Arabidopsis thaliana: one gene and its partners. The protein of the gene in region 1 interacts with the protein of each later gene in a biochemical or structural test. Each region holds a gene or a part of one and is shown on either strand. Other genes may lie near its edges.

Region 1 (9,717 bases):
AAACACTGAACAGAAGAGAAAAGACAAGACTAACTAATAAAAAACATTATAAAAATGAATCTAGTCTTTTAGCTAGTGCACTGACGAATTTGAAGATGAATTAAAATAAAGATTCGATCGCACAGTCTAGCTAGATGGAGCATTGATTCTGATTAGTCAAGTGTATTGATGGAGTCACATAGACACAACTTGCATTGAATTGAATCTCTCATCTCCCTGTCCAATGTATATTACACATACACTTTGAATACTTGCTAATCAACTAGAGTTTGAATAGGTATCAAATAAAACTTTGACTGCATCGACCTTTGTCACTTTTTCATTATAGCAACGGTAAACACAATGATTGGGTATCTTGTCTGACCGGTGAAATTTTGAATTCAAACTAATCAATCTAGTGGCTTTTCTTATCGGTTCCATATATTGGTTCGCAGAAGCGGTTTAGCAAAATGATTGGGTTTTCGTTTTGACTTTTGAGGGTTTATTGAATTGTCTAAGAAGAAAAATTCCTAAACATACTAAATTTTTAAAACTACAGTAAAACTTTTATAAATTAATAAAATTTTATAGTGAAATTCCTAAAATTCTAATATTATTAATTTAAAATAATATTAATTTATCAATAGAGAGATTTTCTTAATTTAATAAAAAATTTAATAACGATTTCTTTCATTATAAAAAATAAATGTTAAATATACATGAAAATGTGAAATACATATGAATTTGTGAAATCGCTAATGACCACAATTAAATGGCGGGATCCAAAATCCGGTTGGATTTCACAATTTCATATTAATTTAGTATTTATAAAAAAAAAAAAAAAAAAAAAAGAAAGAGTTGAAAACCTATTAAGAAAATAAAATAAAAAATAAATGCTAAATATACATGAAGAAGTGAAAAACATGTTGGATTTGTGGAATCGCTAATGACCACGGTTAAATGGCGGGATCCAAAATCCGGTTAGATTTCACAACGTCATATTAATTTAGTATTTATAAAATTTAAAAAAAAAAAAAAAAGAGTTGAAAACCTTTTAAGAAAAAAGAAATGCTAAATATACATGAAAAAGTGAAAAACATGTTGGATTTATGGAATCGCTAATAAGCACGATTAAATGGCGGGACCCAAAATCCGGTTAGATTTCACAACGTCATATTAATTTAGTATTTATAAAACCTTAAAAAAAAGAGTTGAAAATCTTTTCAAAATAATAATAATAATAAATGCTAAATATAAGAAAAACAAGTGTTAAAAAGTTAAATAAAATGTAAACCATATTGAACCTAGAACAACTCTTAGGGGATTGGATGATGTATCCAATTAGTTTACACAAAATTTAAAAATTTAACACTTATCTATATAAAAAAAATCTAAAGTTATAATAAAATATAGGTGTAAAAACATTTTACACTTAAACTAATGAAAATATATAAACATTTTAGTTATATAAATGTTATGGTGAAACTAATTAGTTTTAGTTTTACTTAAAAATAATTTTGAAGGAAAATAAAACAAAAAAAAAAAGAATGAAAAAAGTAATACCTTGTTGGATTTAGTAGCAAAAAGGGCCCATAGAGCAAAGCCCATTCCAAAGTCAGATTTGAGCCCGTCGGTCTTTGGGAGCCCTCTCGTGACATCATCCACCACCATAAAGCTCTCCGCTCTCTTGGCTATATCCTCCTCTTTGTAGTCTCCGGTGAAAGCGTCTCTCGTTGGTCAGATCATTATCTGGCGACATCGATCTTGATGACATAGATTTGATGGTTCAATCACGAAACGATGATGATATGATATCGCTCCGATCAATTACGGACGTTTCAGAGATCATCACCATCGGCTTTTACTTGAATATCTCTACTTGGATCATCATCGGAATTCACAGAGAGATAAAGACAAAATTGTCTTGAGAAGAGAATTAGGGTTTTAGAATAAGAAGAAGCGAGAAATAGAGAGTTTTGATTTGTCGAATTCTTTAGAAGAAGCGTTGAGACTCTCAGTGAGAGAGTAATTATTTATTTATAAGCGAAGAAAAGGAAACTGATAATCACAATTAACGGTCACAAAATCTTCTTTTAACGGTCACAAAAAAGATTTCTTTTGATAGCTTCTGTTTCCTTTTTTTTGTTTCTCTGACTGTGAGAGAATTAATGTGATGAGTTTTAATACATAGACTATAGCAATGGTATATAAATCAAGTTTTATAGAATCTGTTTCTTGTTGGTATGTATCGAGAGAGAAGCGGCCTGGATATGATCACAACAAGAAATATTTCTCAACTTAACGAAATTGGAATTACTGTTTTAGCTTAGCCTGATCATTTGCAGACATATATACAAAAGTTGCCCCAGTATCTCATATTAGCTGAGAAGAAGAAGCCAATCAAATACATAAAAAAAAAAAGCACACTAAAGATTGCAAAAGCTAAATAAGTTTCTGTTATAAAATCAACAAAAGAAATCAGAGGAAAAACTGAAAGAGCTCTTCATGATTTTGTAGACGCGTCTGAATTCACGGTTCGCACGAACTGGCCTTTCACTCGAGGACGTTGTTCTGCTAGCTTCTTCCTGCTCTGGTACCGAACCTGTAATCCATTTTTATACATCTCCATTGAATCAGTTTGATCTTGTATTTGTTTCAGATGCTGTTTTTATGATGAAGCTTGTGTGTCTCTTACCTTTTTGTCAAAGCATCGATCTTTCCTCTTCAACCGGAACTTCATCAATGCAGCTTCTCTCTGGCTTCTACTCCAACGTTGTTTCGCACTTTCTTCTTCCTTTGGTTTCTCTGTGCTACTGCTTTGTCCAGCAATCCCCTCATTGGTGCTTTGAGAACCAGCTTCTACTTCCTTGCTAGCTGCTTTCTCGCGATTTGATTCTACCGGTATGGGTGAATCTTGCTTCTGATTCGTTACTGTGGACTGAAGAACTTGGTTACGGAAGCTTACGCTTGATGATCCGATATTCTCCTGGTTGCTGCTCGTTGTGGAGCTTCCTTGATCAGATCTTACTTTTCTCAACTTTTCATGTGATTCGGTTGGTGTCTTTGGCTCACCTGAAGTACTCTCCTCTAAAGCAACGACGGCTTTTTCTGCTGACTTGCTTTCCTCAAATCTGCAAGTTAAATACATAAGAATTTGCGAATTGACTGACTCTGTTTTGATACTCTGCTTTTGTTGAGAAAAAAACAAAGTTTCTCCTTAAATCTTCCGAGTCAAGAAGATGTTAACTTGGGTTTCATGGTTCTTTTCGTGTTCCTAATATCAGTTTCTTCTCACCAACTTAGTTCTCTTCTTGATCTTTTACATATTAATGCATAACACTTTATATATATGATTTCTCCTGCTTTTGATTTTTATTCATCCAAATTTAGTCTTAAACTTACTACTTAGCTACAAAGCATGACGAGTACTTACTACTTAAAAACAGAATTACAAACACGAACTGAGAATATACGTCTTTCTAAACACATCATTTATACAGACAAAACCATACAATTTCAGCTCAAAATCCTGCAAAATTCTCGCTGAGAAACGAGTCATTTGCTGGACCGAATATCTCTATATCCGTGGCTCGGTTCATGCGATGTAGACCGGTAAATTTCGATTTGAATATGTATATATCCAATCTTTAGTCTCAATCTGTTTCATCTTCTTGTTTAGAGTTTATTGTTTTCATGACCAAAAATCCCGCCAAGGGTAATTGTTGCTGGATTGGTCCAAGAGAGTAGTAGTATCTGATTTGAAACCTCTCCAATCATCAGATGATGTCAAACAACTATCAGCTGGTTCAACAATGTTCATTAAGTGATCTGGTTCTTCCTCAAACCCACCAAAATACTCTCTCTTGATGTTGTTACTATAACCATTATCATCATCTTCATAATCATGATGATCACACATAACCCCATGATGACCCTTATCATCTTTCATCTCCATCTCCGGTCTAACCTCTTCCGGTTTACGCCTCCGGTTCTCTTCGTTTTCTGATTCATGATGTGTGCTGCTTAGAGCAACCACCGCTTGATCTCCACTACACTGCCTTTCCTCCTCCTGTGTCTTCTTTTGCGTCGCCTCTTTTAGCCTCTGCAACTACATAAAGGTATAAAACAACTCATCAACAATCTATTCTCTCCTTCAATAAACCATCAAAACAGAGTTTTTCTTGATCACCTAATCAGTCCTTAATTGCAATATAACCACTAAAGCACATATTTTATCACATATTTAAAACCACAGTTTTTCAGTATACAACCACAAAATACACAGATTTTAACTAACCATGTAAGAATAAACAGAGTTTAGAACATACCTCAGAGACTAAAGCTTGTTTTTCTTTCTTTAAGGACTCGAACTGAGAAGCCAAGTTGTCGTAGTTTTGTCTGAGAATGTTGTACTCAGTCTCGAGCTGCTTGGATTTCCAACGAGCCCTCTTGTTCTGAAACCATATAGCCACTTGCCTCGGCTGCAACCCTAGCTCTCTAGCTAATTGAACCTTCTTCCTTGGCTCAAGCCTTGTCTCAGACTCAAACATCATCTCCAGTGACTTGATCTGCTCGTCGCTAAACCTTCTCTGATTGTTCTTGTTGTGGTTGCTCTTCTTCATCTTCTTCATGGTCAAGAATGGCTCTGCTGACATCATCGCCGGAGAATATTCTCCACCTTCTGTCATCTCATCGGAATTTTTCCTCAGAGGATTTATGTTTTCTTTATTTTTATTTTTTGGAATCTCTATGTTTGTGTGATGTTGGCTATCTATATATGTGTGTTGATGAGGCTGAGATTATTATGTTAACAGTTATATAAAAATGTGATTTGTTGTTCTTTTTTGGGAGGGCTCCTTAGCATATAATAAGATATAACTTTGGGTTTGCTTTATCGTAAATTTTTTATTCATTTTTGAGTAAACGATTTGTGGGTCGACAGGTAGCAATAGGGCGGATTTTGGCTGTTTCTAGAGTCGTCGCTATCACTTGTTAAGTCGAGTTTCATTTCAACTCGAAACTAATCATCTAACTACTGATTAATAATTTCCACCTTTTTTATTTCTTTTACTTGTGACAAAATTAGTTTCGACTTAACAAGTGTTAGAAAATTAAATGATACAAAAAAATCTGCATACTACACAATTTACCGCATAGTAAACATTCTGGTCGATGTGAAAATGGAAATGGAACAACGGTTGCGTACCAATGTATTTAGTGATGTGGGTGCATATTAACAAATCCTGTTAAGTGGATCTTAAATAAAAATGAAGGGAATTATAATGGTTCATATAATGATTAGCATTTCTGAACTGATTACTAAACAATTATAATGGTTCATATAGGGAATTTCAGAAAATGAATAATCCTCATCTCCTATGCATATATCATCATGTGATTAATTATATTCTTTTCAGTACATCTCTGGTGAATTTTTAAATTTTTATGATTGTGTGCGACAGATTTAACGTTCAGAAGTCAGGATGTGTGACGGGTGTTTTTGTATACGTATGACACAAATCATAATTTTCTTAGAATGTGACTTTAATATTATTATACTTGCATTGTAAAACATATATTGATTACATCACAAATCTCAAAAACAAAACATTGTGACTTAAGTATGATGGGATACAATTTTTTCCAGCTATTTGCTTACGCAATTTTTTCTAATCGGAGATTTGATTTAGAATCAAAGCCTAAACTAATTTTTATAGATAAGTGTAATACAAGTTTACCTTCACCACACGTAAAACTTCCGTGCATGCGATTTGATAACTTTTTGCCAACTCTGTTGTGATCATTTGTTGACCCCTTCCTTACAAAAAGATATTTACTTCAGATTGAAAAATTGACAATACTATTATACTCGTAAACTATTTGTTTCTAATATCATATTTGAACTTATATGATAAATCACAGATATAATGATTCTTGAGAAAATTTTCTAAATTTTTCTTTTTTTCTGTTTTTATGTTAACAACACCATATTTATATATATTTTTAGAAAAAAAAACTAAATAGAAATGGCATATAATAGTTTTTTTCTAGAGTCTATATAACGTTATTTTTAAGAAAGTCTTCATACAACTGATTTCGCAAAATTTCTCTAGTTTAGTTTTACAAATTATGGTACTTCAAACCTCTATAAATGTTATGGTATTTTAAGAATGAATGCCTCGTGATTATTTAACAAACATTACTCCAAAGACAAAAGGCTAATTTTTCGTAACATTTCATCATTTGAATGGAAGCAAGTTAAATTTTTGCCAACAGGGAAACCATATTTGAGGCAGATTCCCTAGACTTTATTTTCTTCACGATAGCGATAACAATTTAACAATATTAGTATTAATGTGAAAAGCAACTTTAATTCTTGCTTTCCTGATTAGTTTAAGGTTTACGTTCACCTTGCTTGTCGGAAATTTCTTTTGACTAATTAATACAAGCAAAAATATTAAATTGGGCCATCTAGATAAGATATTTTCAAACCCTAATATTCTTTTTTTAATAATTAAATCTGATATTTGTAAAAAAAAACATAATTCGAAATTATATCTATCAAGTATCAACTAAAATTAAACCAAAAAGAAGTACCAACTAAAATTTAACGTAAGAGATCAATTTCTAAAGTCTTATTGAACTTATCAGAAAGTGGCAATCAAAAAGTATCAAAATCAGCCATCGAAAACTAGCCAAGTGTTATAATCAGAGATGAGAGTTCAATGCTTTGGGACATCAAAGTTGATAGAAGAGATGACATGGCAGTTGATCTGTGGTGGTGCCTGAATATTTTGGCCCAGCAAAGTACACACGTGTCGTGGTTAACTAGTATATCGCAATTTCTGAGAAGAGCCGTAGGAGAAGACAAATTCTTCATTTCTTTTTTTAAAAAGTATAATTTTAATTTATTACTAAATAAACGATGGCTTGGCTTGTTTGTATTTGCAAGCTCCTCGACTTGCCGCGTGTGACATTAATTTTTTGATATATTTACAATTAATTAGGACTTTTTATGTTAGATTATCAGTATGGTGTCACGTTCACAAAGTTTTTCTTTGTTTTCATACCATCGTAATATTCAAACGAAGATCTATTTTATTAACGAATGAATTTATTATTTTTATTTTATTTTCTTTAACGAATGAATTAAGTTTTGTCCTGCTTTTTAGATTATTACCGTTACTGCATCTCTAATCAATTTATGATACATGAGAATCAAACACAGTAATTTGGTTTTTAACGATAGAAAAAGTAATTTATAGTAGTGACTTTATCAGACAAGAAGACTTTTTTCCACCAATTTTGGAATTGTTGATAGAATTATAGAACTCTATTATTCCATATTTTCCGAATGGACAATAAATATTCTAAACCACATTCGAAATTTTTTTGTTTTATTTTGAGAAACAACTAGATCAAATTAATGTGTAATCTGAATATCTGATGGTGTGGAACTGTGGAAATATGATGCCAAGGAGGTGCCAATGGGGAAGAGACATTTAGCACCGTCTTAAAAAAAGCTTATCTTTTCGTGATAATAACTTTATAGAATTAATAGATGAAATATCTAATTACTTTTGGTCAAAATCATCATTGGTTTTATTTATAATGTTACTATCAAAAAGGTTATAATAATCGTAAATTCATTGTCACAAGTGGCCAACAATCTTACCCTACTTCTTTAACTACTACTCCTCGTTAAAGCGATGTTGAAAATAAAGCGGCTCGACTTTTCTTACCGAGTAATTAAAACAAACAAACCCATCTTTAGGACTAGATATTTTACTTAATACACCGAATCTCCGACTTTCACGTTTCATTTTTTTTTTAAAAAATAAGCATGTTCAATTTGGACATGGACAATATTTTATTTTATTTTCCAGTTTATTTGAAAGATCAACTATTGAAACAGAGTTTACAGGAAATTTGAAAATGTGAAAAGGACAAAACAAAATTAGGAAGAAAACAAAACGAAATTTTACACACAAAAAAAAAAAAAACGAAAGAGGCGAAAACTGATAAAGATAATGAGTGATTGGACCTGAACTTTATCCGTATTAGAATTTTGTTATACTTTCTTTCGTTTCCCTTTCTACGTGTCAAAATGTCTACAGTATGTTGAAGTACAAGTACGTTCATTGTACATGAAAGATATATTCAATTGCTTATGTTGTCATAATTATCTAAATTATTGTATATTAAGCTATAGATATTGTTAATTACTTAATTGTATTAGTCACGGAATCTGATAATACCAAGTCAAGGGGAAACCAAAGATTAGGCGTGAGACGGTTCTCATTGCTGACCTTGTCGGACCAAAGACCTTAGTCATGTTACTCTGTTCTCTTGCTTTAGGTTTCGATCTATTTCCACTACCGAAACCAGTTTCAATTTTCAAATAATAATATTTCTCTCATTTTATTTAACCATATAAAACTCTCAGTGTTTACTTCGATCCCCGAAAATCTTTATCTCTTACCTTGAATTTATTTATTTAATTTTTTGACATGTTTTGTGTTATATTTCATATACCTTTTGTCTCTTATAAATTTGACTCACAAAACAAAAGTAAGGGAGGAAAAAAAACAAAGCATTGAATTTTTCTTATTTAAAAGGCCCATACTAGATGTTTTAAAGCCCATTATCCCTTATCAGGTTAACAAAATTAAAGAAAATGCCCATTGGACTGTCTAGCCCACGCTAGCTGAGGGATTGATAATATGTAGTGAGCCACCTTTGGCATAATCATAACATTTTGTAATAAAACCAATATAAATGTGTTCTGATTGAAAAATAGGTTTAGTGCGAACCAATACATGATTTGGACCAGTATTAATAGTCTAATACGATGTGATCATTGAACTTACATCGCTTTTTTTTTTTTTTTTTTTGCTAATTAGTTTTCCTTTTACTTTTTGATACCTATGAGTTTGTAAACTCATGACATCATATATTTATTTTTTGTATTATGCGTATTGGATAACACCACTAATCGAGTAGACAAATTCCTATAACTTGTTGATATTGTATGCATGCATATAGGTAAGAACAAACGTATACTTACACGCATATATGATTTATGTAAGTGTAGTGTGGATAGATTGAGAGGGGTAAAAAAAAGAGTGATGGGGATATATCGAAGAAATGGTTAAAAATACAGTGAATAAAAGTTTTTGACAAGTAAAGGTCTCATCAATAGACATTCGAGAAAGGGTCTTTATGTTCATTACATTGAGATCCGCACTTTTCACATATATATATATATATATTTTCTTTGAAATTTTGTTTTTTTTCGTTGTGAATTACATTTTCATAAGGATACCATTCATATTTATATTGAATTCCCTCTTTTGTAGTCTTTTCACCGTAACCAGCTAATATATATAGATAGAAAAGAATGGCTGTAAAAAAATCTTATACGTTAGAAAATAGTGGAGTAATTTTTATTTTGAAATAGAAAAGGTGAGGAAGGAGTAGGATAGTGGAAATTTGGGATCTGATTTGAGAAATTGAATGGGCTGAGAGAATACGAACAAAGAGGCATTAAATGCTCTTGTCCCTCTTTTTCCCTAATTTCAATGCTACCCTCGCTCCTCCTCTAGTTCTTAATTATTCAGAAATTCTAATTGCTTTATTACAGTTTTTCTTTAACAATTAAGTTTGGTGTTTAGTCCTTGAATTATAATTGCTTTATTTCAGTATTTTTTTTAACAATTACAGTTTATGTTTAGTCCT
Region 2 (10,456 bases), 1.8 Mb from region 1:
AATGATTCAGAGCATCTTCTCTCGAATCTCCTCTTCGTTTCCAGCTGCAAGAACAGGAGCATTTTACATACACAAGCTGAGGCTGTAAAAGGGACAGGACAAGAAGAGAGTGTGCACAGACCAGCAGCATTTTACATACACAAGCTGAGGCTATAAAAGGGACAGGATAAGAAGAGAGTGTGCACAGACCAGCAGCGCTTCAACATCTCGTTGTCTTTGTTCAGAACTGAATATATTCGTAATATATGCAGAGCAAGTCAGGTTTTAGATCTTACACAATAAACAAAAAGCGAGATATCATAATTTGTTATTCTGCACCAAGACAGCTACAACATAGAAAACCAAGTGATATCTCTCAGGATAAAGGATTCAAGTCCTACTGTCGAGTGAGTCCAATACAAGTGATAAGCCAAGAAAACGAGAAAATCAAAATTGATATATGGTTCACACAAGCACTGATTCAACAAAAGAAACTTATTTGCATAGAGGTTCAACAAATGGCAACTGCAACACAGCCCATAGAAAATATTTGAGGTCAAGTACAAAAGTAATCCTAGAGCCAATGGCCTTTGTGTTTGATGCTTAGTCCATTGCAGCTTTTGAATGTTTCACCGAGAAACACATATTGTATCAAAGAATCCAATGCCAAAAACAACCAGTTTTTTAGCATTGTTGTGAAGTCCATTTTATTCATAATTTTGTTCTAACCGGTAGAAAAAATGGTTTTCGCTTGTACGTTGAGTTCCTTATTTTAACTTGGCCAAAATCAAAATTTCTCTATCAGAATAGAAAGCAGAGAGAGATAAGCATCAATAAAAATAGTCAAGGATCAAGCATATATAGATCCAAAGATACAACATAACAACTCCCTGAGTCTCTCAGTACAGGAGCTAAAACATTACGTACTAAATCGATCATTTACTACATATTAAGACTAATTTTCAACGACCCTTAAGACAATAGCTACTAAATCGATTATTAAGACTAAATTTCAACGACCCTTAAGACATTTTAAAAGGGGTAAACAGAGACATATTAGGGCTGCTCCATACGCCTCTCCAGCTCTTCCCTCGCCTTACGAGCCACATTTTTCAGCCGCTTTTCCAGTTCAAGCAGCTCCTCCTTACTCAAGGTTTTAAGATCTGCCTTCAGAGCTTCTAGACTTTCCAGAAACTCCTTCAACCCATTTGGTTTCTTCGATCCTTTTCCAGATGCATTCAAGCTAACATAATAAATACTATGTTAAAAAGAGGTTACAAAAGAAAGCACATCAGAAAATTTCTAGGGTTCAAAAAAGGATTACCTCGCTGCCGCCATCGTCACCTTGTTGGGAACTAGGGTTCTTCACTCTTCTGGTCAATAACGTGTGAGACGAAGAAGCCTATTTCGATATATATATTTGTTTGTTATTGGGCCACTTAGCCTTTCTTATCTTGGGCTATTTATAATAAACACATATGACAACAAAAGTCCAAACTTCTTTTTTTTTTTGTCACTCAAACTGAAATTTGATTGATAAACTTGATGTGGAACCAGGGAATTACACGATGCCTAAACAAGAGAAACAAAGCCGACGAACGAAATTAAAGTTCTCGGAGACAAAGCCGGAGGAAAACGAAGATATCCCCGGAAGCATAGCCCTATGAAAGGGAAACAAAAGAAACTAAAACACAAAGCAGCAAAAATTGGACCCTAAACGTAAGAGAACGAACCCAAATACATAAACAGAGACAACAAGACTAAAAACCAAAGAAAACAATAGCTACAAGCGGCAAATAAGACCTCCTCCTCATAAGCACTTGCGATGAGACTTACTTCGGCTGCCCACGGCCACCCCGAAAAAAAATCTGCCACCTCCTATCATAAAGAGAGCCAATCTCTCGAAACCAGAACCAAGAACTTCATAACCCAGCAAGCCAACCAAACTGGAATAAACTCGAACAAGCCTCCGGGTGCGACGGTGACGACTGAGGCGTCTAAATACATCTAAATAGAAGTCTTCAAAAAGCTATCAAAAAAGATCTGAAGCAGGACAAAGAGAGAAGCCTAGCCTCCGAGAACCTTCATCGTGAGAGAACACCACAAAGGTAGGAGAAAGCTAACAACCACAACAAACTACACTAAGGAGGAGAGACCGACTGCCAACAAAGAAGACTATCACAACAAAAACATAACGAAACCTCTGAAAAGAAATGGGGCAATCCAAATGGGAATTGATGGCTGAAGCAAGGAGACAAGAGACGGAGGGAAAGGCAAGGTTCGGGAAAAGATCAACAGATCTAACCGCTCCTACCGCAACCTCAACGAAACAAAAGTCATCCCTTGAAACAAACCGAAAAATTCCCCAAACGAGGGCCAATAGATCTGCAGAATCAACCAAGCACTTACTCAGATCTATCCAAAACTAACTGAATCAAGGACGAGATCTCTACTACTACAAGACAAAGCATAAACTACAAGGACAAAAAAACCAGTTCCAATGCTACGGAAGCCACCGGCCACTGGTCTCCGACGAAGAAAACGGCAAGAAGCGGCTGAAATTAGGGCGAACAAGAGAAAGGCGATAGTTGATGAGAGAGGAGTGAGCGGCGATGAAGTCCAAACTTCTTTATCAATTACAAAATTTTGATATTCAATAAATATTTTAGTTTATTTATATAGGTCCAATAGGACCACCTACTATTTCTTTTCTTGTGCTTCAAATATTTCCTAAAATATTGAAAACAAATTGATTATTATCTTAACGAATAACGACGATATACTACAAAACTTAATAAAATAAATAACTTACCAAAAAAAACTTAATAAAATAAATAAATTTAATTGTCATTCAAAACTTTACAAAAAAAATATCACACGATTCTTAATCTTCTCTATGTAACAAGTAATCTTCTCTAAATCTCCTTCTAATGGAGAAATCATACGAACGAGTTAACGTTTCTCTGAATCTTCTCAAGTCAAGCTTCACGTTCTGTCCTTGTAGATAGATTTTCTTCGTATATTCCCATCCTTTGTCGTTTAGACTATCCGGATCTCGGATTACAGGGTCATCTTTCCCATATTCTTCATACAAAGAGCTCTCTTTCGGCGCAATCTTGTAACCAACGTACTTCAATCCTAGCTTCTTCGCCGGTTCTCCATAATATGTCTCTGCCGCCCAGTCCGTCCCTAATGGGATGATCTGAATGAAAACGGTTTTCGGTTTCAAGAAAAGGAAATGAGTCATTGCTGCTCCATGTACACCGATCATTACATCGCTCGTGTTCAACGAACGATAAATCTTGGCCATTTCCGTTGTCTTTTGTGGTCTTAGAACCTCCACATTGAACCCTGTTTTCTCTGCTAGCTCCACGAGAAGATTCTCGTTTAATATCGCCCTTGATGACCCGTTTCTTGAAAGAATCACCAGTTTTGGCTTCTTCTTGAAATCGAGTGCGGTCACGTTCGCCTCTGTTTCCTCCTGAGTCAAGCTTTGGATACGATGCGAGTAACCCCTATCCAAAACGTTTCTGAAGTCAACAATGGTTTGATTCCCAATGACCAAAGAAGAATTCACAGTTAACTCGTCGTGAATACGTAATCCAACGGTTGCTTCTTTGAAACAATGTGTTCTCGTATCTCCATTGAAATCAACCAGAGGATAATCCGAGAGCTGCGAAACGACATCTCCATACTTCATCTCCCACCAGTCATGATACTCGACGATCACAAACACAACTTTTTTGTTGTAATGCTGTGAAGTTATAAACAAAGGGATAATCCCGTCGTTAAACTCGTGGTATACGTTACCGGTGTATCCACCAGTGGAGAAGAACACAGCAGGAACATCATGGTACACATCGCATACACGATCTGAAGATTTGTTGGAATCTTTGGTGATGAGGTTGAGTTCTTGAACGGTGTCCATCACACTAGTCTCCCATTTTCTAGTGTAAGGTTTGATCTTTTCCGGTTTTGTGTTGTTATTGGTGGAGGAGGTGAAGAGGAAGATTGAGGAAGAAGCAGAGTTTGTTCGAACATCACCTTTCATTACACAAATATCAGATCTCAAACCGGTTCTGTCACAACAAATGGTTCCTGCGTGCATAAACAAGAATCGATAACCGTAAGTTTTATGCAGATTATACACTAACTCTGTTTCTAATATTAAGATGAAAAGATCAAAACTCTGTTTTCTTCAGGAGTTGGTAAAAAGGTGAAATAAAAAGACTAACCATTGGAGATTTCTGAGCACAGAGGGGTAATAACTGGCTCATAAGAGCTAAGACCTTCGATTTCTCTGCGAAACGAATCTGGAGAAGAGTAAAAAACAGAGAAGATAAGTGATGAATCAAATAGAAATACCAAAAAAGAAGAAGAAGTTAAGATTGTGTGGGAGAAATAGTAGTACCTAGGAGGGAGAGAGTAGAGAAGCCGAAGAGGTAATAAGGAGACAAGACGAAACAGCAAGAGAGGATAGAGAGAAAGAGAAGACAACGAAACTTTTGTTTAGCTCTCTTGGAGTAGCAACAACCACCTCCACCACTTTCCTCTGCTGAAGAAACTCTAAACTTATCTTCTTTTCTTCCATGGTGGATGATTAATCTCTGGTACTGCACCATCTTCTGAAACGTTAAGTTTCGATTTTGATCGATCTTGGTGATTTGGGTGACGTTTGAAGCACAAAACGAAGAGAAAATTCACCGGTAAAGAAAACTACACAAACAGAGAATTACTTTTCTTGAGGACGAAGGAGAGAGAGATAAGATTGGGTGACTCTGAGGATATAAAGAGACTTTTTGATGCATACGCATATATACATACAACTATATGAAACGAGTGAAACGAATGAAAGGGATCAATTTAGATTCCTTTTGTAAAGAAAGTAATGTTTCTATTTTTAATATTTGGGGTTTAGTGGACTTTCCTCTGATATTTCGGTAATAACACGGAAACAACAGAGAGGAGACGGCTGTCAACTTAAGTTGTGTTTGGTCAAAGTCAAAGAATTTGCAAGATTTAGATAGACCACTTAGTTAAATTGTTACCTAAATTTTTCTTTATTTTTAAATGAATTAAATTGTAGAATTTTCTTTGTGATATTACAACAAGTTGGCCTAAATTCAGTTTTTTTTTTTTTTTTTTTCAGTTAAGAAAATCGGTCAGTTTGGTTTTCAGATTTTAAGAGAATCGTTATAGTTCGGTTCAACTTTTAAACCATCTCTGACGACAATACACAGAGAAGAAAAGAAATAGTGGACCATTTATTTTATCGGTTAGAAGTTTAAAAAAAAAACGAGGGTGAACCCAGAAGACGACGTAGCATTATTGTGGGCCTAAAAAACGGCGTGAAGTTCAAAAGAGGTTGATGTATATTCTTTTTGCGGCATGTGCGTGACGCTGAACATCTGCTTTGACAACGGGTTTCGCATAAATATTAGCTATCCTCGACCGTTTTGCTTTACCAAATTCGACGAATTTTATTATTTTATTTTGGTCCATCGAGTTGTATCTTTGACAATTATTAACCTATAAAAATGAAGGAAAACAAAATAATATTTAAAATCCCTTCCAAGTTCCAACGAATTTTAAAAAAACTCTTACGATAAATTATTGTTTGCTCCAATATGTTCTTTATTGCCTGAAAATTTTCGGATAATGAATTTGTTATGTAGCTATATATAGAGAATAATCCAATGTTTAACTCTATTTTGATGGTCGGCTACCGCCTAACATCTTAACCGCGTCCGTGAAATTGACTAAACTTAAAAATTGAATTTAATTGTAACTGATAACAACAACGTATACAAGCAAAGGTGGTAATTTGTTTCATACTTTCATTTTATGGCACTCTTGCAAGAAAAGAAAAGAGATGAAAGTATGAAACGTTTTTTTGGACACCTAGCTATTATCGTTTTTTGGACAAGATAGTTATATCGCGGCAGCACTTGTTTTAAACGATATCCAACGCTATTTTAATCCACACAACACGATCTGCATACCTTTTCAACAACATTTTAAATTATGAGCATGATAGAAATATGTATCATCGAATCTCATTGATCCATTCCAGAAATTGAACGTTGTAAAGTCCAAACTATTGATATTCAGAACTCTTGTACTGTAATAAGTAGCAATACCCTTGTATTACCCAATCATTATTTACCCCCACACAATGCATTACTGTTAAGAAAAGTCCAAATAATTCCTATATTCAAACATATATAGTCTTACACCAGGCTAACCCATCACCTATTCCTTAAACATACAAAGAAATAACTGAATTCCCCCTTGTTAATTTGACTCTCAATTCATATTACAATCTTATATTTAATGTAGTCGTATTGTACTCATCTCCGGTTGTTCGGAGTGAAGACAAACAGTCGTATTACGGTAATCCGATGCAAGCAGGCAAAAATATTTTTGTCCAAACACAGAGAGTACTAACTATCATATTTGTTTTCCTTTACCCAAGAGTAATTAATATCATATTTTGTTATATCAAGAGTAATATCATATTTTCAGATTTACTGCTTGTTTCTAAATTATTTTCTCACATGCTACTCAAAAAAATTGCGAATGGTAGCACGGATTTGCCTCCTTAACGTGGAAGGACACAGTCTATCTCCTTGTCTTAGTGGTCACCTAGTTTGGCATGCCCAAAATGTTTCAAGGTTTTGGTAAATGAAAATCATCATGGAGAGATATAGCTGATACAATGTCAGCAATGTTAATAATCTGCAATGTCATAGTATTAATTTCTTGTATCGGATATCCAAATTGCTTTAATCTGTTTGAAAGTATCTACTCCTTTCACATGGTAAAGATTTACATCTAATAAAAATAAAATCTGTAATATTTAATGTTTAGGTGTAATCAGTAATAACTTTAGACAGAAATATCTTTAATTTCTTTTATAAAGTAATATCTTAAATAAAAAAACTCTCTATTCATAAATATAACTTATCCTGAGTAAGATTTTGTTGCAAAAAAATTGAACTCACATAATATGGATATAAATCCAAAGCATTAATTTTCTTTTATTTTGGTTAAAGTTGTTGATTCAAAGCATTCATATATCATTAAATTATAAAGTTTTTTTTTTTTTTTTTCATCTTTATAAAGTTAAATAATTTCTGTAAATGTTGTGAGACACGTATAAAAAGGGGTGATATATGTCACCTTCAAAGCAAATGACCAGTTTTGTCTCACGTACTAATGTTTAGCTATTTCAGGAATAAAATTACCCAAAAGTTGGTTTCTGTATTTTGATTGTATACTGAACCAAAGTTCAAAAAGGGTCCATTTAGTGACCCAAATGGCGATAACAATAGTACTACAATGGGCTCAATGCCGAGTTTATATCTGTACCTATATCCAAACACTCCTAAAATCTTCCAACTAAATTCCAACACATGCGACCGGTATGACTTCCCTAACAAGTCACTTGTTTCTTTTTCCTCTGTCCTCCTAAAACGGACAAGCAAGCTAATTTAAAATAAAAATAAAAAACAAACGTCAATCGCTGGAGAAAATTAATCCACCGTCCGATTGATTATTAATAGGTCCCACTTAAATAAACGATCTAGATCTTCTCCTCACGATGCACCGCCCTAGAGCTTAATTTTCCCTCATCTCTTTGTCTATAAAACCGGAAACCAAACCTACGGATTCTCTCCTTCTCCACATAAGTTACATCTCTCGTGTTTTGTTTTCTTTGTCTCCGATTTTTTTCGCGACGAAGAAGAAGACGAGAGATAGAGAGAGAAGTAGAGAAATCGAAGGAATCTGTAACCGATTTTAAGATCTCAATTTTTAGGGTTGTTGATTTTTCAATTTCTGGGTTAATTTTTTTTAGGGTTTTCATTTGGAATCATGTCGGATGCGTATTGTACGGATTGTAAAAAGGAGACGGAGTTGGTTGTCGATCACTCAGCCGGAGATACCCTTTGCTCCGAGTGTGGTTTGGTTTTGGAATCTCACTCCATTGATGAGACCTCTGAGTGGCGTACCTTCGCTAATGAATCTTCCAACAGCGATCCCAATCGTGTCGGTGGTCCAACCAACCCGCTTCTCGCTGATAGTGCTTTAACCACTGTTATCGCTAAGCCCAATGGTTCATCTGGTGATTTCTTGTCTTCTTCTCTCGGGAGGTGGCAGAATCGTAACTCCAATTCCGATCGTGGTTTGATTCAAGCTTTTAAAACCATTGCTACCATGTCTGAAAGGTAGTCCCCATTTTGAGATCTCACCTTCTCTGAGATTGGATTGCAACTTTATAAACAATTGAAACGTTTAGATCACACGATCCTTAATCCTATTGGAGATTGATTTTGTATGAACTTGCTTTGATTTATCATCACGCCTCTTGCATACGTTTGTGAAATTACATTGTCAATTAAAGAACAAAAGGAGCTTCCTTTTTAATCTTTCATTGAGAGTTTTCACTTTCCTTGTACTTTATGCGTTTAGCTCGTGATGTGTTAGTCTGTTCCTCAAAGGGATGAAGTTTCTGTTGGTTGTTTAGAGTGTTTGTTTACATTGCCAGATTTATGTTCTGCTGTGTATGTACATTATTATCCTTGTGATAATAGAGAACACTAACTTGTTGATATTTTTTCCAGGTTGGGACTTGTTGCAACTATCAAGGTAAACTTGTTCGTCTCTGCTAACTTAATATGTTTGTGGAATGTATATGTTAGGATGTGCTGTTGGAGCATTTCATTTACAGCTTTGGTGGATTTTCGTGATATGTAGGATCGGGCTAATGAGTTATATAAGAGGCTGGAGGATCAGAAGTCAAGCAGGGGAAGAAATCAGGATGCACTTTATGCAGCCTGTCTGTACATTGCTTGTCGCCAAGAGGACAAGCCACGAACTATTAAGGGTACATTTCAAAGATTTCTCATTTGAGAGAGTCTTGTTACCTCTTGATATAGCTTTGACATAAGTCAATCAAACTCGTGAACCTTGTGAATAGAAATATGCGTTATTGCCAATGGGGCGACAAAGAAGGAAATTGGCCGAGCAAAAGACTACATTGTTAAGACATTGGGACTGGAGCCTGGTCAGTCTGTGGATTTAGGAACTATACACGCTGGTGATTTCATGGTGAGTTTGTCTAAAACTAAAATTGTTGCTGATACCAGAACCTAGCTAGAGTGTGCTAATTATGTTATGAAACAGTTGATTATGCTGGCTGCATTGACTACGTGGTTTCATAACTCTGTATTTGATGAAATTGCAGAGAAGGTTCTGCTCCAACCTTGCAATGTCTAACCATGCGGTGAAAGCTGCTCAGGAAGCTGTGCAAAAATCTGAGGAATTTGATATAAGGTACATTTCAATTATTTCCCTCAGTTCGGGACGGAGATAAACACAGCAGAATCTTAAAGATGTTTATTTTGGGAAATTGCAGGAGGAGTCCTATATCAATAGCAGCAGTAGTCATCTATATCATAACCCAGCTGTCTGATGACAAGAAGACTCTCAAAGGTTCGGTTTTTTCATTCTTTCGGGTCTCATTTATTCTCATTGATTCGTTTTAAACAAAACATAGACTGATTAATATTTGGGGTGGGGTGCAGATATATCGCATGCGACAGGAGTAGCAGAAGGGACAATAAGGAATTCATACAAAGACTTGTATCCACATCTGTCAAAGATAGCACCAAGTTGGTATGCAAAGGAAGAGGATCTGAAAAACCTGTCAAGTCCTTGAAGTCGTTTCTTGATTCTTCTATATGCAATAGAGAACTATCTATATCTATAAATCTATATCGACTGAGGAAGATACAAAGCAATTGTTCTCTCTCTCTAGTAGAGCCTTTTGTTTCTTTTTCAAATCTTTTTTGAAGTCCTTTGCTTAAGATTCTTGTAATGGCGTTAAAAAACTTGAAGAAAGGAATATTATTATTGTTATAGTAAGATGGTAATTTTTTCATAATCTTATTCCCCCATACAATATTCGCAAAGCGGAAAAAAACTTTGTTCATGAAAAGAAAATGAGACAAAAATATGTTTGGATTTACAGAGCATTTTTGATGGCTTTTTAATTTGTCTTCATTGGTTGTCTAATTCTTAAAAATGGGCTAAATACAGTAAATAGCTATTTTTTCTTATCGAATTTAAAGAAATTCTATATATTAACAGAAAAGTATAATTAGTCGTAAAAGGTAATAACATAAAACAAAATAAATCAAAAAGGTTTGAATCCCGACGGAAACCCTCTCTTTGCTGCTTCCCCGACTGCGTAGTAGTAGCTCGAATCCAAAATCAATGGCGAACGACCAAGAGATGAGTGGTTGGACTGATCTTCTCCATTCTTCGTCGAAGCTTCTGGAGCAAGCTGCTCCTTCTTCTCAGTTTCCTCCTCTTCAGGTTCTTCCTCTTTCCGCTGGTTTTGAGGTTCATCGTTTAAGATTAGTTCGATTGATTTTTGTCTGTTTCACTATCAGAGAAATTTAGATCAGTTGGA
Region 3 (10,817 bases), on another chromosome or scaffold:
TGTCTCCAGGTCAACGCGAGTGGACAATTTATTGGCCTTGCGGAAATGAAAGGACCAGTTGATTTCAACAAAAATATTGAGTACTGGCAACAGGATAAATGGACTGGCTCATTTCCCCTCAAGTGGCATATTCTGAAGGATGTTCCCAACAGTTTGCTTAAGCATATTACTCTAGAGTACAATGAGAATAAACCTGTTACTAACAGTAGAGACACACAAGAGGTAAGTGTTTATATCTTCTCGATCTATATGTTTCTGATCTACCAGCAATATTTTCCACTTTTCAATGTTCAAACTCTTTCCATGTGATCATGTATGTAGGTTAAGTTGGAGCAGGGTTTGAAGGTTGTAAAGATTTTCAAGGAGCATAACAGCAAGACATGCATTTTGGATGATTTCTCGTTCTACGAGGCTCGACAAAAGACTATTTTGGAGAAGAAAGCTAAGCAGCAACAATCCCAGAAGCAGGCAAGAGAAGAAAACGGTTAATTCCATAGATATAAGCAGATGCATTTACATTTGTCCTCTCTACTCTCTAGTATTGAAATGCACCCATATATCTTTAACAGGTCTGGGAAGGAAAAACCAATGATGAGAAACCAGGAACTGTTGATTCTACCATGTAAAATGCGTATAAAGATCCCTGCATACGGTGGGAAGATGAAGAAGTAGTGAAAGATAAAATCAGGGTTGGGTTTGTTTTCGTTTTAGCTTAGACAGATTTTCATTTTTCTTTGGTTTCTGGTTCGGACATGACTCTGTTGAGTCTTTTCTTAATTTCTTCTAGATTTTGCTTTCAATCTGAAAATTTAGTATCTTCTTTCCTTCTCCATTTCTCCTCTGTTTCCAAGTTTTCAAAACCTAAAAGGCTGATTGGACAAGGATAACACATCCAATTAAAATGTTATGTTTTTGTTAATACTCTATAAACCTTTGTAGTTAGACCATTAATTTTTGTGTGAAACTCGCATAAAATGAGTTAGTTGCAACTTGCAAGAGAAAGATATCGATTCGTGTCGGATCCACAGTGACAGGAGTATCGGAGCTTGAGTCACGGAGCTAGGAGGGTATGGACGGAAACTAGGAAATCGTTGAATCTATATGCATAATTTCTTAAAATATGAACAATGAGTTTATATATGTTAACAACCATATTAATTTATACAGGTTTTACTACATCATTTAAAGTATGAGGGTAAATGAGTATATTTTAGACAATTACAATTTTTGTAAGAATCATCTGCATTTAAATTCATCTGATTTTATTATTATTTTGGATGAGTATGAGTTTGGCAAACCATATGGCTAAAACATCTAGATGATGTCTTTGCATTTCAATATGGATTTCTTTTAGGCTTTAGCCTTTTGGGCCCTAATGTAACACCAAGTCTGCGACACCATCCAAAAAATTACCGCGAAAAAAAAAAAAACTTGCGAGAGAGATATTGATTCGTGTCGGATTTGACGTGGCAGGAGTATCTATCATCTATCTCGTAATTACGTGATTAACTTAGAATCTGTTTCTTTCTTCACCCACCAAAAGTAGCAAACCTTTGCCACCTAAAAATCTTACCAGTTGGGTGAAAGTTGCCAAAATAGAGCTTGCTTTTGTCGCAATCCTATATTTTTCAGATTGATTGTTGGTGGGTTTGTGTAAATGGCGGCTCTTTTAGGCAGATCCTGCCGGAAACTGAGTTTTCCGAGCTTGAGTCACGGAGCTAGGAGGGTATCGACGGAAACTGGAAAACCATTGAATCTATACTCTGCTATTAATCAAGCGCTTCACATCGCTTTGGACACCGATCCTCGGTAAGCTTACACTAGACATTTGATCCTTAGGTTAATAGACATCTAATACATTCTGTGGAGAAAGATAAAAAAAATGTGGGGAATTTAGTTAATTAGTATACACATATAGTTGCTTCAAATATGTATGATGTCGTTTTAGAGTCTGACTTTAAGTTTTTGTTGTGGGAGGTCTTATGTCTTTGGGGAAGACGTTGGCTTTGGTGGAGTCTTTCGCTGTACAACAGGTTTAGCTGAACGATTCGGGAAAAACCGTGTCTTCAATACTCCTCTTTGTGAGCAGGTATCATTCTTTGACCTGCTTCTGTTTTCACTTCTTAAGGTAGTGTTTCTTGATGAGTCATTCATTTAAGTTTTGACTGGATTCAGGGCATTGTTGGATTTGGCATTGGTCTAGCAGCAATGGTGAGTTCTTGTTTGTGTTCATGTTTTGAACTGTACAGTTGTGAGATTCAGTTTGGTGTTCCATTTTGACAGGGTAATCGAGCAATTGTAGAGATTCAGTTTGCAGATTATATATATCCTGCTTTTGATCAGGTAAATGTTCTCTCTTTAAACAAGCATATGCTTTCCGTCGCCATATTTCTGAACGGTTTTGTGATTTATAGATTGTTAATGAAGCTGCAAAGTTCAGATACCGAAGTGGTAACCAATTCAACTGTGGAGGTAAATCTTTCATCATTACGCTTTTTCTTGATTTGTTATTAGTAATCTATTTTACTCATTATGGTTTATATGGATCTTGATAGGACTTACGATAAGAGCACCATATGGAGCAGTTGGTCATGGTGGACATTACCATTCACAATCCCCTGAAGCTTTCTTTTGCCATGTCCCTGGTATTAAGGTTGTTATCCCTCGGAGTCCACGAGAAGCAAAGGGACTGTTGTTGTCATGTATCCGTGATCCAAATCCCGTTGTTTTCTTCGAACCAAAGGTACTTCCATTTCTTTTTTACCAACCAAATCAGCTTCTTAGCACCTCTTCTTAAGTCTTGAAACGTTGATATTTCCTTCAGTGGCTGTATCGTCAAGCAGTAGAAGAAGTCCCTGAGCATGACTATATGATACCTTTATCAGAAGCAGAGGTATCATAAGTTCATTTTTGGCCGTCTATTTTCGGAGACGAGAATCTCACTATTAGGAGTTATGAGCAGGTTATAAGAGAAGGCAATGACATTACACTGGTTGGATGGGGAGCTCAGCTTACCGTTATGGAACAAGCTTGTCTGGACGCGGAAAAGGTTTATAGCTTTATCTTTCAACTCAATGATGAATGGTTCGCAGTAATATTAACTAAGGTCTTGAGTTGATGCAGGAAGGAATATCATGTGAACTGATAGATCTCAAGACACTGCTTCCTTGGGACAAAGAAACCGTTGAGGCTTCAGTTAAAAAGACTGGCAGACTTCTTGTAAGATTTAAGCAATCTTGATTGACAACTTCGGATTTTGATTTGTCTGGTCGATCTTATAGATTGCTTTTGCTTGTGCTTGGGGTTGCAGATAAGCCATGAAGCTCCTGTAACAGGAGGTTTTGGAGCAGAGATCTCTGCAACAATTCTGGAACGTTGCTTTTTGAAGGTTAGTAAAAAGAAAGCTCAAATCATCACCGTTACAAGTGACTACTCTTTATTGGTTCTCCGTTTCTTAACTGTCATTTAAAATGCAGTTAGAAGCTCCAGTAAGCAGAGTTTGTGGTCTGGATACTCCATTTCCTCTTGTGTTTGAACCATTCTACATGCCCACCAAGAACAAGGCAAGTTCCTCTTCTCTTATCATTCCTCTATTCCGACCCAAAACGCAGTTTCTAACATATCATGTGTTCTTGCTTGATGCAGATATTGGATGCAATCAAATCGACTGTGAATTACTAGCCGTACTATCTGTAGTTTACTGTTTACACTAGGACTAATGTAATCGCATGTCTTTGTTATCAATTCGTCTAATGTAACACTACCGATTAACTTTAATGAATTTCAAGATAACGAAAACATGTTATAATAGGACTATCTCACTTAATGTGTACGAAGATTATTATCTACTGAAAGATGAAAGCTTATGATCCAAACATTTGACAAACCAGAGCGGCAAATTGCTTGAAAGAGTATATTAAAGGGCAAACAGACTTGGTGTCTTATTACAGAACAGTTAGCAAAGAACTAAGTAACTCTTTAATGATTGGGTATTGTTCACTGAAACAAACAGAACATGAAACAAGATTACTTGGAAGACATTTTTAGAACAAAAAGAAAAGAGATTTATTGGCATCTCCATTCTCTATTTACAATTTCTGGTTTTGAATCTGAATCATTTCAAGTTCTTGTCCAAGGAATATAACCCCACCAAGCGCCTGCCAACACCCGAGATCTCTAGTTCATGGCAATCCAAACGTGAACATGGTTTTTGCCTTCAATATGGTAGGCTCTGCTTTCGAATCGAAATAGTCATAATCAAACTGTTGATTGATTAAGGGGTATAAAATGTAAATGGAGATAAAGAAAGTTGAACTTACATACTATTATTGCTGGACCTTCCTGAATTCTCTAAGAACTGGGTAGATATTCTCAAATGCGGTATAAGTCTCTTCTCTCATCTGATTCGGGATTTCATAAGATGACAGAAGCATTTTCATGGAAACAATTTTAATCATTTGAGAGAAGTTCAATTATTACCTTGGCTCCAGTTATAACAATCTTTCCTGACACAAAAATAAGCAGTACAATCTTTGGAAGTTTCATCCTATATATCAATCCTGGAAATAGCTCAGGCTCGTACTGGCATCAATGATGAGAGAGGTATGAATCATCAGACCGATTAACACCCATGTTACAAGTATATATGATCACAATGCTTGAGATCACTTACACTTGAGAAAGCACTATGAGAGTATGCAAGACCTTCAAGCCTAATGGGGAATTTGACATCACATGAGCCTACAATGTTCTGTATCTTAAAATCCTGCAAAATGTAATCAGCAATTTTATTACTAGACTTTATACGTAATTTTTCCTTCCGATAAAAATACACACGAATTGTTGATTGAGATAAAAATGAATAACACAGTGTGTGCTGGATCAGGACCAGAGAGAGACATATGAGTACCTTGAACTTTGCAGGAAAGCCAAGCTTTTGAACAATCCGAGCATACTGAACAACAAAAAGGAATTCTTTAATATAACAGAGAACAAATACCTACTAGAGCTGTAACAAGTTTCTAACTACAGTGATGCTAGAAGAAGAACATCAGACAGTATTGAGATGAGCTAGTTTACCTTTCTTGCAGCAAGCTTTGAAAGATGTTCACTTTTAGCTCCGGTACACACCTAATATTGGACAGCATAGATGCCACGTCAAAACAAGGACATGGAAGATTAGGCCATAAGAGAAAAAGTGACAAAGGAAAACATACCATTTTCCCAGAAGCAAAAATTAACGCTGTGGTCTTTGGCTCTCTGATCCTCATGATTACAGCAGCGAAACGCTGGAACATAAAACACAGATTAAAACCAAATCCGAAAATACAAACCAAAGTGGTGGAGACCAAACAAAATGATCGATTACTAAAACACGAATATCACAAAGAAAGCAAAACCTTGGGGTTATATTCAGCATTCCTAGCTTGCAAAGCTATGGCTTTAAGATCAAGCTTGCAGTCTAAGTTCACTGTTGAGACAATATTTCTGAAACAAACCAAAAAAGAAAAAGGTAAGATCTTGTGATTCACAAAAGCACAAACTCAGAATCTTAAAACAGAGACACAAAAGAGAGAACTCACTGAAGAGTAGGAACAATCCCTGAAGGATGTTTAGTAAGGTCAACTGGCTGGCTCCCTTCCGTTCCTTGATCAGCCATTCTCTAACATAAGAATCAACGTAAACACACACACATCAGCTATAAATCTCGTCTTAAATAGGGCAAAACAGAAACTCATGTCGATCCAAACCAACAAGCATCCACGAAACAAAATTGTTTTCAAGCTTTACAATTTCATTGACCAAATCTGGTTATCTAAAAACCAGTTTTGATAATTGAAATCTAGAAACATTGTTTCACAATCAAACAACGAAAAGCTATGAAACACACAACTTCAGAACATGAGATCCAATTCGTAACAAGCAACTACGAAGAAACTCAATTCAGATAAAATCCGTGGAATTGAATCCATTAGGAACAAAGGGTACGAAACAAAATCAGACCTTTCGCTAGTTAGCAATCCGGAATTTCGAAATCTAGGGTTTCGTAAACCCAACAGATTGGAAGAAATTCCCCCGAAAAGGCGAAAGGAAGGTGAATGATTTGAAAAAGGAGAAGGCTTTTTATACAAAGATAAGAAATTTTTAGAGAGGGAAAGAGATTTGTAAATTGGGATTATATATAAAGGAGAGAGTTTTGATTTTCAATATCGCTCTCTGGGTTCTCTCTCTGGGGATGAGATTTGTGATCTGCGCTTTGGATCTGTGGAGCTTAAGGACACGTTATTACCTCTATATACTTTCCTAAACTACCCTTGCCTCTCTTTGTCGGATGAGGGTAATTATGGGAATTCAGCTTATTAGATTTTAATGTTACGGTCTTTACTGGAATTTTAGGGAACCGTCCACTCTTTGTCTGCCACGTGTTCTATTACAGAATGTGTTAGCATACGTTTTTTTGTTGGATCTATATGTAAGACTATAACTCAAGACACGTTCACAAATATGAATCGAGTAGAGACTATGAATCGCCACAACGACGGACTTATTACAAAGCAGTAGATTATCAATTATTGCATGAAGGTGCCAACTAAAACTTGTTAGAGATCATCACTCATCAGTGTCCGGGTCCTTTCTGACGAGTACGTGCCGATTCACTTCGTCTGACACCAGCTTTTAGATTATCAAATTGTTGTGCTCCATTTCCTTCCCCTTAATTTATAATAATAATAAAAAAAGAGATTAAGAACTGAATATGAGTTTTGTTTATGCGTGATTGTATTTGTATGATCAAAGACGGTCACTTACTCGGCAGAGTTCGGCCCATAGTCGTGTTGTACGCGGAGACCAAGAGAATAATCAAAGTGATTAGGGATAAAACCTGACGATTCATTACTTCTTCTTTTGGATTATGACTAATCTGAGAGATAATGTAATAAGTTGATACTACAATACTTATATATATACAAGGAGATTTGGTGAAACGTTAATATATTAGTATATATACTATATCAAAGTTAAGTTCGTTAATGTCAAAAGGTTCGTTAATAGCGCATAAAGTTGGTAACTTTGGTCGCATTTTACACATGTGAACTCTAGCTTTTATAAATTCTAATTAATGTTTACGCGTAAACAAAAGATTACATGGTAATGCAATCATGGATTAACACAAGGAAAAAGCATCACTTCATTAAGTTTAGTAAAAGACATCATATTTTGTTTTGGATGACGACATATTAAACGAGTCGGTCTAAGTAATTAGGCATACAATATTATACAATTCCATTTCATACAACAAAGGTGATGAATGTTAAATTACTTTTTATGTTTAAATTTATAATTTATTACCAACACAATTCGTACTACAGCCACCAATCTTGTTATTTTACCATTAAGGCATTAATTTAACAAACTAAGTTGCAAAAGTGGCTTTGGTTGACAACAAAAAACACACAAGCGACTTACAGAATCCGGCAAAAGATTTGCTCAAAAACAATTAAAAAAACACAAACTGAAAGATATTTGTTTTCCAAAGATGTAGCATTCAACCAAATCTGAGAAACTTATGTACAGACAAAAGATCAGATTTAGGTAGAACCGAGATTTCATGATCACACCAAAAAGCTTATGTTGCTCAGGGAACATGTCTTAACTAGAATCCGTTGGTGCATTGCTATCTTGCGACGAGGAGAACAAGGTGCTAAACGGCCACGGGATCGAGAATCCGCTTCCGTCATTGTTCTCGTTCTCCTCCTCCTCCTCCTCTTCTTCTTCTTCTTCTTCTTCTTGGCGCCGGTTTCCATCGCTGTTCTCAGCTCCATGGCTGGTTGTAGCAGAAGCACTACTGCTTCCATTGTTATCGCTCGTTGTTGTTACTGAATCAGTCTTGGCTTCATCTGCAGGTAACTGATATCTGCAAACCGGGCATGAACTGTGAAGCTCAAGCCATGGTAACAAGCAGTCACTATGAAACTTGTGCGTACAGGGCATCAGCTTTGCCTCAGTTCCAATCTCAAAATCATCTAAACAAACCGAACATTGCAGAGTCTCTTCGATTTTCACAGTAGCCAAAGCCTCGACAGCTTCTTTTTTAGCAGGAGGTGTTCCATATCTGTTGGGATCATTCTCAGCTAGACGTTGAAGCAACATTTCAAATCCAGGACCAATGAAATAGTCACCTAAAGAACCAGCAGGTACAGAATCCATATCAGCAGAGTTTTGAACCGTGATAGTCTGATTGGAGGTATTGATCAAGATCACCCGTCCCGGATTATTACCTCCATTACCAGTACTCTCAGATTCTACAGACAACCCTGCTCGTATCCCCTGAAGCAACTGCAAAACAGCAGCGGAATGTCTTCTCCTTCTCCTGAGAATCTCTTGAAGCTGCCAATCCAAATCATTTTCTCCATCGTCTTCATTGTTCTCGGTCTGTACCTCGTTTTGATTATCTTCAACAGACTCAACACTCTGGTTTCTCCTACGACGCACAGGATCATTCATAAGTTCCATCAAGATAGGCGCCCAAAGAGAGTTGTTTGCTCTAACATCAGCCGGATCAGAAGAATCATGATCGTCGTCATCTTCCATTTCTTCAACAAACCCACTTTGACAAAAGGGACATTTGATCTCAGCTTCCATGACTGGATTCACAGTTTGAGAACACATATGACACCAATACCTCGTTACAACTGCTTCTTCCATGTCCGATTCTTTCTACCTAGAAATAACCACAAAGAATAATTAAAAAAAATAAAATAACACAGAATAAGAACTTGTAGCTAAATGAGTAAATCTCGTTGAAGAGACTAATATACATCTGTCAGCTAATGAAGTTCATCGAACCCCTAAGAGCGAATAAGGAACATCAAAGCGTAGAATAAAACCCAATCATCAAGACACTGAAAAACCCAATAATATCAAAATGTCAATAAAAGAAAATGACTTTATAGAAGAGAAATGAAAAGGGTTTTGAAATCGTCAATCGCAAACCAGAACATTTATCAAAGTAGACGAAATCGTAAAAGTTTACAACAAAGTCATCGATTCAAAGATATGAGCTTTTGTTTGGTCGGATTCAAAATCGAAAGAAGAATCTGCGTTCCATCTTGAAACCCTAACCATAAATCAGCCGTTTTAAAGAAACGATAAAAGTAACAGAAATTAGCAAACCTTTTGAGTCTTGTTGTTCGATAGCAGAAACCGAGAAGCACAGAAAAATGTAGCGACGATGAAGAAGGATTTTGAGTTTTGAAAATTGAAGAAGATGAGAAAAAGAGAGGGTTTCTTTGTTTTATGTACGAAAGGAGGAGAATTGTCGTAAGAAATTAGAAAAGTAGAAGAAGAAAAGAAAAAAAAAAAGATAGGAGAGAGTTTATCCAAGAAAGAAAAAATGAAAAGGATCCTCCTCTTCTTCCAGATCCTTCTGGGTTTCTCATTTCTTTTCTCTCTGTGGGTCTTATTCTTAATTAGCTGCTCCTTTTTTTTAATCAGCTCATTAATTCCAGTAGACTTTTCTACAAACATCAACACGTGTACTTGGATTCTTTTTGTGGGCTTTTAAGTATACTTTTATTAGATGGGCCTTTTTGATGTTAAATTATTGGATAGGAAGTTTCTTATTTATGATTACCACCAAAAAATAACATTGTCCACAAAGGTGCTCTCTCTAGATCATCCAAAATATATGGAGTTTTGTTGAAATTACGGATGAATTCTACTACCGGAATTTCATGAACGGCTCGTGATGTAGTGACGGTATTACTACAATCCCATTTGGTTACATGTCCTGATCGTTTTACTCTATAACAAGGACGACACATATCAACGCCGAAATCTTTTAATTTACTATCTCCACTTGCAAACCAAAAACATAAAAAGAAAGTATCTCCATTCCATTTACACGCAAGAAAAAACTCGGAAAGAATTTTATATGATGGATGATGCATCAAGTAGATTCCGACTCTATTCTAAACCATATATCCCCAAAAATAACATATTTTCAGACAAAACAAATAATGAAATAGCAAAGTAGAAACAGTGCTTACTTGTCCTCAACATATAGAATCTCATGTTTTTGTAGGTGTTATGTAATCTTCTTGCTCTGCTTTGTATGGACACGACGACTCTTCATAATTCTCCCTCGCTTATGGAACACTGATGAATAGCATTTTTATCGGCTTCAAAATCCGATAACTAAACCTCAACAGACAACTCGTTTGCTTAGATGCACAAATGGTCACACTACCCTTCTTGAATCATATTGAAGCCATCCCCGTTTGCTTCAAACACATTTCTTCCTACAAAAGATATTCAAAACAAGATTTATCTTATTATGTGTGAATTAACAGTGATAAAGATATACTGCAAATACGACCAAGAACATATGTGGAATCAATGGAGACTAACCGGTTTCTTCAAACCCTTCTCTTCCTACATAAAAATTGAAACCAGATTTTTCTTATTATTTGTGATAACACAACAGTAACAAGATATAGTGCAATACGACCAAAAACAATGTTCAAGCAATGGAGACTAACATCAATTGAATGCAAGGATCTGAATATGGGAGACTTAATATGAGAGGCCTCTGCAGCAGATGGTGATCCATTGTTCCCAGCTGAATAATGATTTACCTACAAAGGACACAAGGGTGACAAAATTTGCATTGGGTGAGTAACTTCCTCCATGTCGTTAATTACAACATTATGATCACTACGTACTGTCTTATGTACATCCTAAAGTCGTAAAATATCATTGCTAGGGGATCTTGTTCTTTGCATCAACCACGTAAAAATGAAGAGCTGAAAGATAGAGAA

Evidence for each region.
Region 2: the proteins of HB-7 (region 1) and TFIIB form a complex in vitro, tested with the Arabidopsis thaliana proteins (one study listed by BioGRID).
Region 3: the proteins of HB-7 (region 1) and TBP2 form a complex in vitro, tested with the Arabidopsis thaliana proteins (one study listed by BioGRID).

The regions. Positions count from the first base shown.
Region 1 is NC_003071.7:19,162,107-19,171,823, forward strand, and holds HB-7 (homeobox 7), read right to left. Parts: upstream 4,862-9,717; 5' UTR 4,668-4,861; coding exon 4,308-4,667; intron 4,088-4,307; coding exon 3,671-4,087; 3' UTR 3,168-3,670; downstream 1-3,167. Other genes in the region: AT2G46670 (CCT motif family protein), read right to left, coding at 2,483-2,581, 2,675-3,127. UniProt on the Arabidopsis thaliana protein: Probable transcription activator that may act as growth regulators in response to water deficit.
Region 2 is NC_003071.7:17,354,799-17,365,254, reverse strand, and holds TFIIB (transcription factor IIB), read left to right. Parts: upstream 1-7,632; 5' UTR 7,633-7,854; coding exon 7,855-8,207; intron 8,208-8,603; coding exon 8,604-8,628; intron 8,629-8,736; coding exon 8,737-8,866; intron 8,867-8,959; coding exon 8,960-9,090; intron 9,091-9,226; coding exon 9,227-9,315; intron 9,316-9,397; coding exon 9,398-9,474; intron 9,475-9,566; coding exon 9,567-9,700; 3' UTR 9,701-9,956; downstream 9,957-10,456. Other genes in the region: AT2G41650 (uncharacterized protein), read right to left, coding at 1,036-1,222, 1,304-1,317; AT2G41640 (Glycosyltransferase family 61 protein), read right to left, coding at 2,864-4,077, 4,215-4,292, 4,391-4,601; AT2G41620 (Nucleoporin interacting component (Nup93/Nic96-like) family protein), read left to right, coding at 10,258-10,359, 10,437-10,456.
Region 3 is NC_003070.9:20,721,825-20,732,641, forward strand, and holds TBP2 (TATA binding protein 2), read right to left. Parts: upstream 6,268-10,817; 5' UTR 6,004-6,267; intron 5,663-6,003; 5' UTR 5,660-5,662; coding exon 5,583-5,659; intron 5,488-5,582; coding exon 5,400-5,487; intron 5,289-5,399; coding exon 5,217-5,288; intron 5,131-5,216; coding exon 5,080-5,130; intron 4,955-5,079; coding exon 4,910-4,954; intron 4,766-4,909; coding exon 4,673-4,765; intron 4,582-4,672; coding exon 4,480-4,581; coding exon of another isoform or gene 4,450-4,479; exon of another isoform or gene 4,401-4,449; coding exon 4,326-4,400; 3' UTR 4,320-4,325; exon of another isoform or gene 4,232-4,319; 3' UTR 3,682-4,231; downstream 1-3,681. Other genes in the region: ECT4 (evolutionarily conserved C-terminal region 4), read left to right, coding at 10-222, 322-468, 570-626; BCDH BETA1 (branched-chain alpha-keto acid decarboxylase E1 beta subunit), read left to right, coding at 1,658-1,809, 1,978-2,089, 2,176-2,211, 2,284-2,343, 2,415-2,472, 2,556-2,743, 2,825-2,893, 2,963-3,049 and 4 more; AT1G55530 (RING/U-box superfamily protein), read right to left, coding at 7,648-8,703; AT1G55535 (uncharacterized protein), read right to left, coding at 10,257-10,298, 10,408-10,431, 10,539-10,634. UniProt on the Arabidopsis thaliana protein: General transcription factor (GTF) that functions at the core of the DNA-binding multiprotein factor TFIID.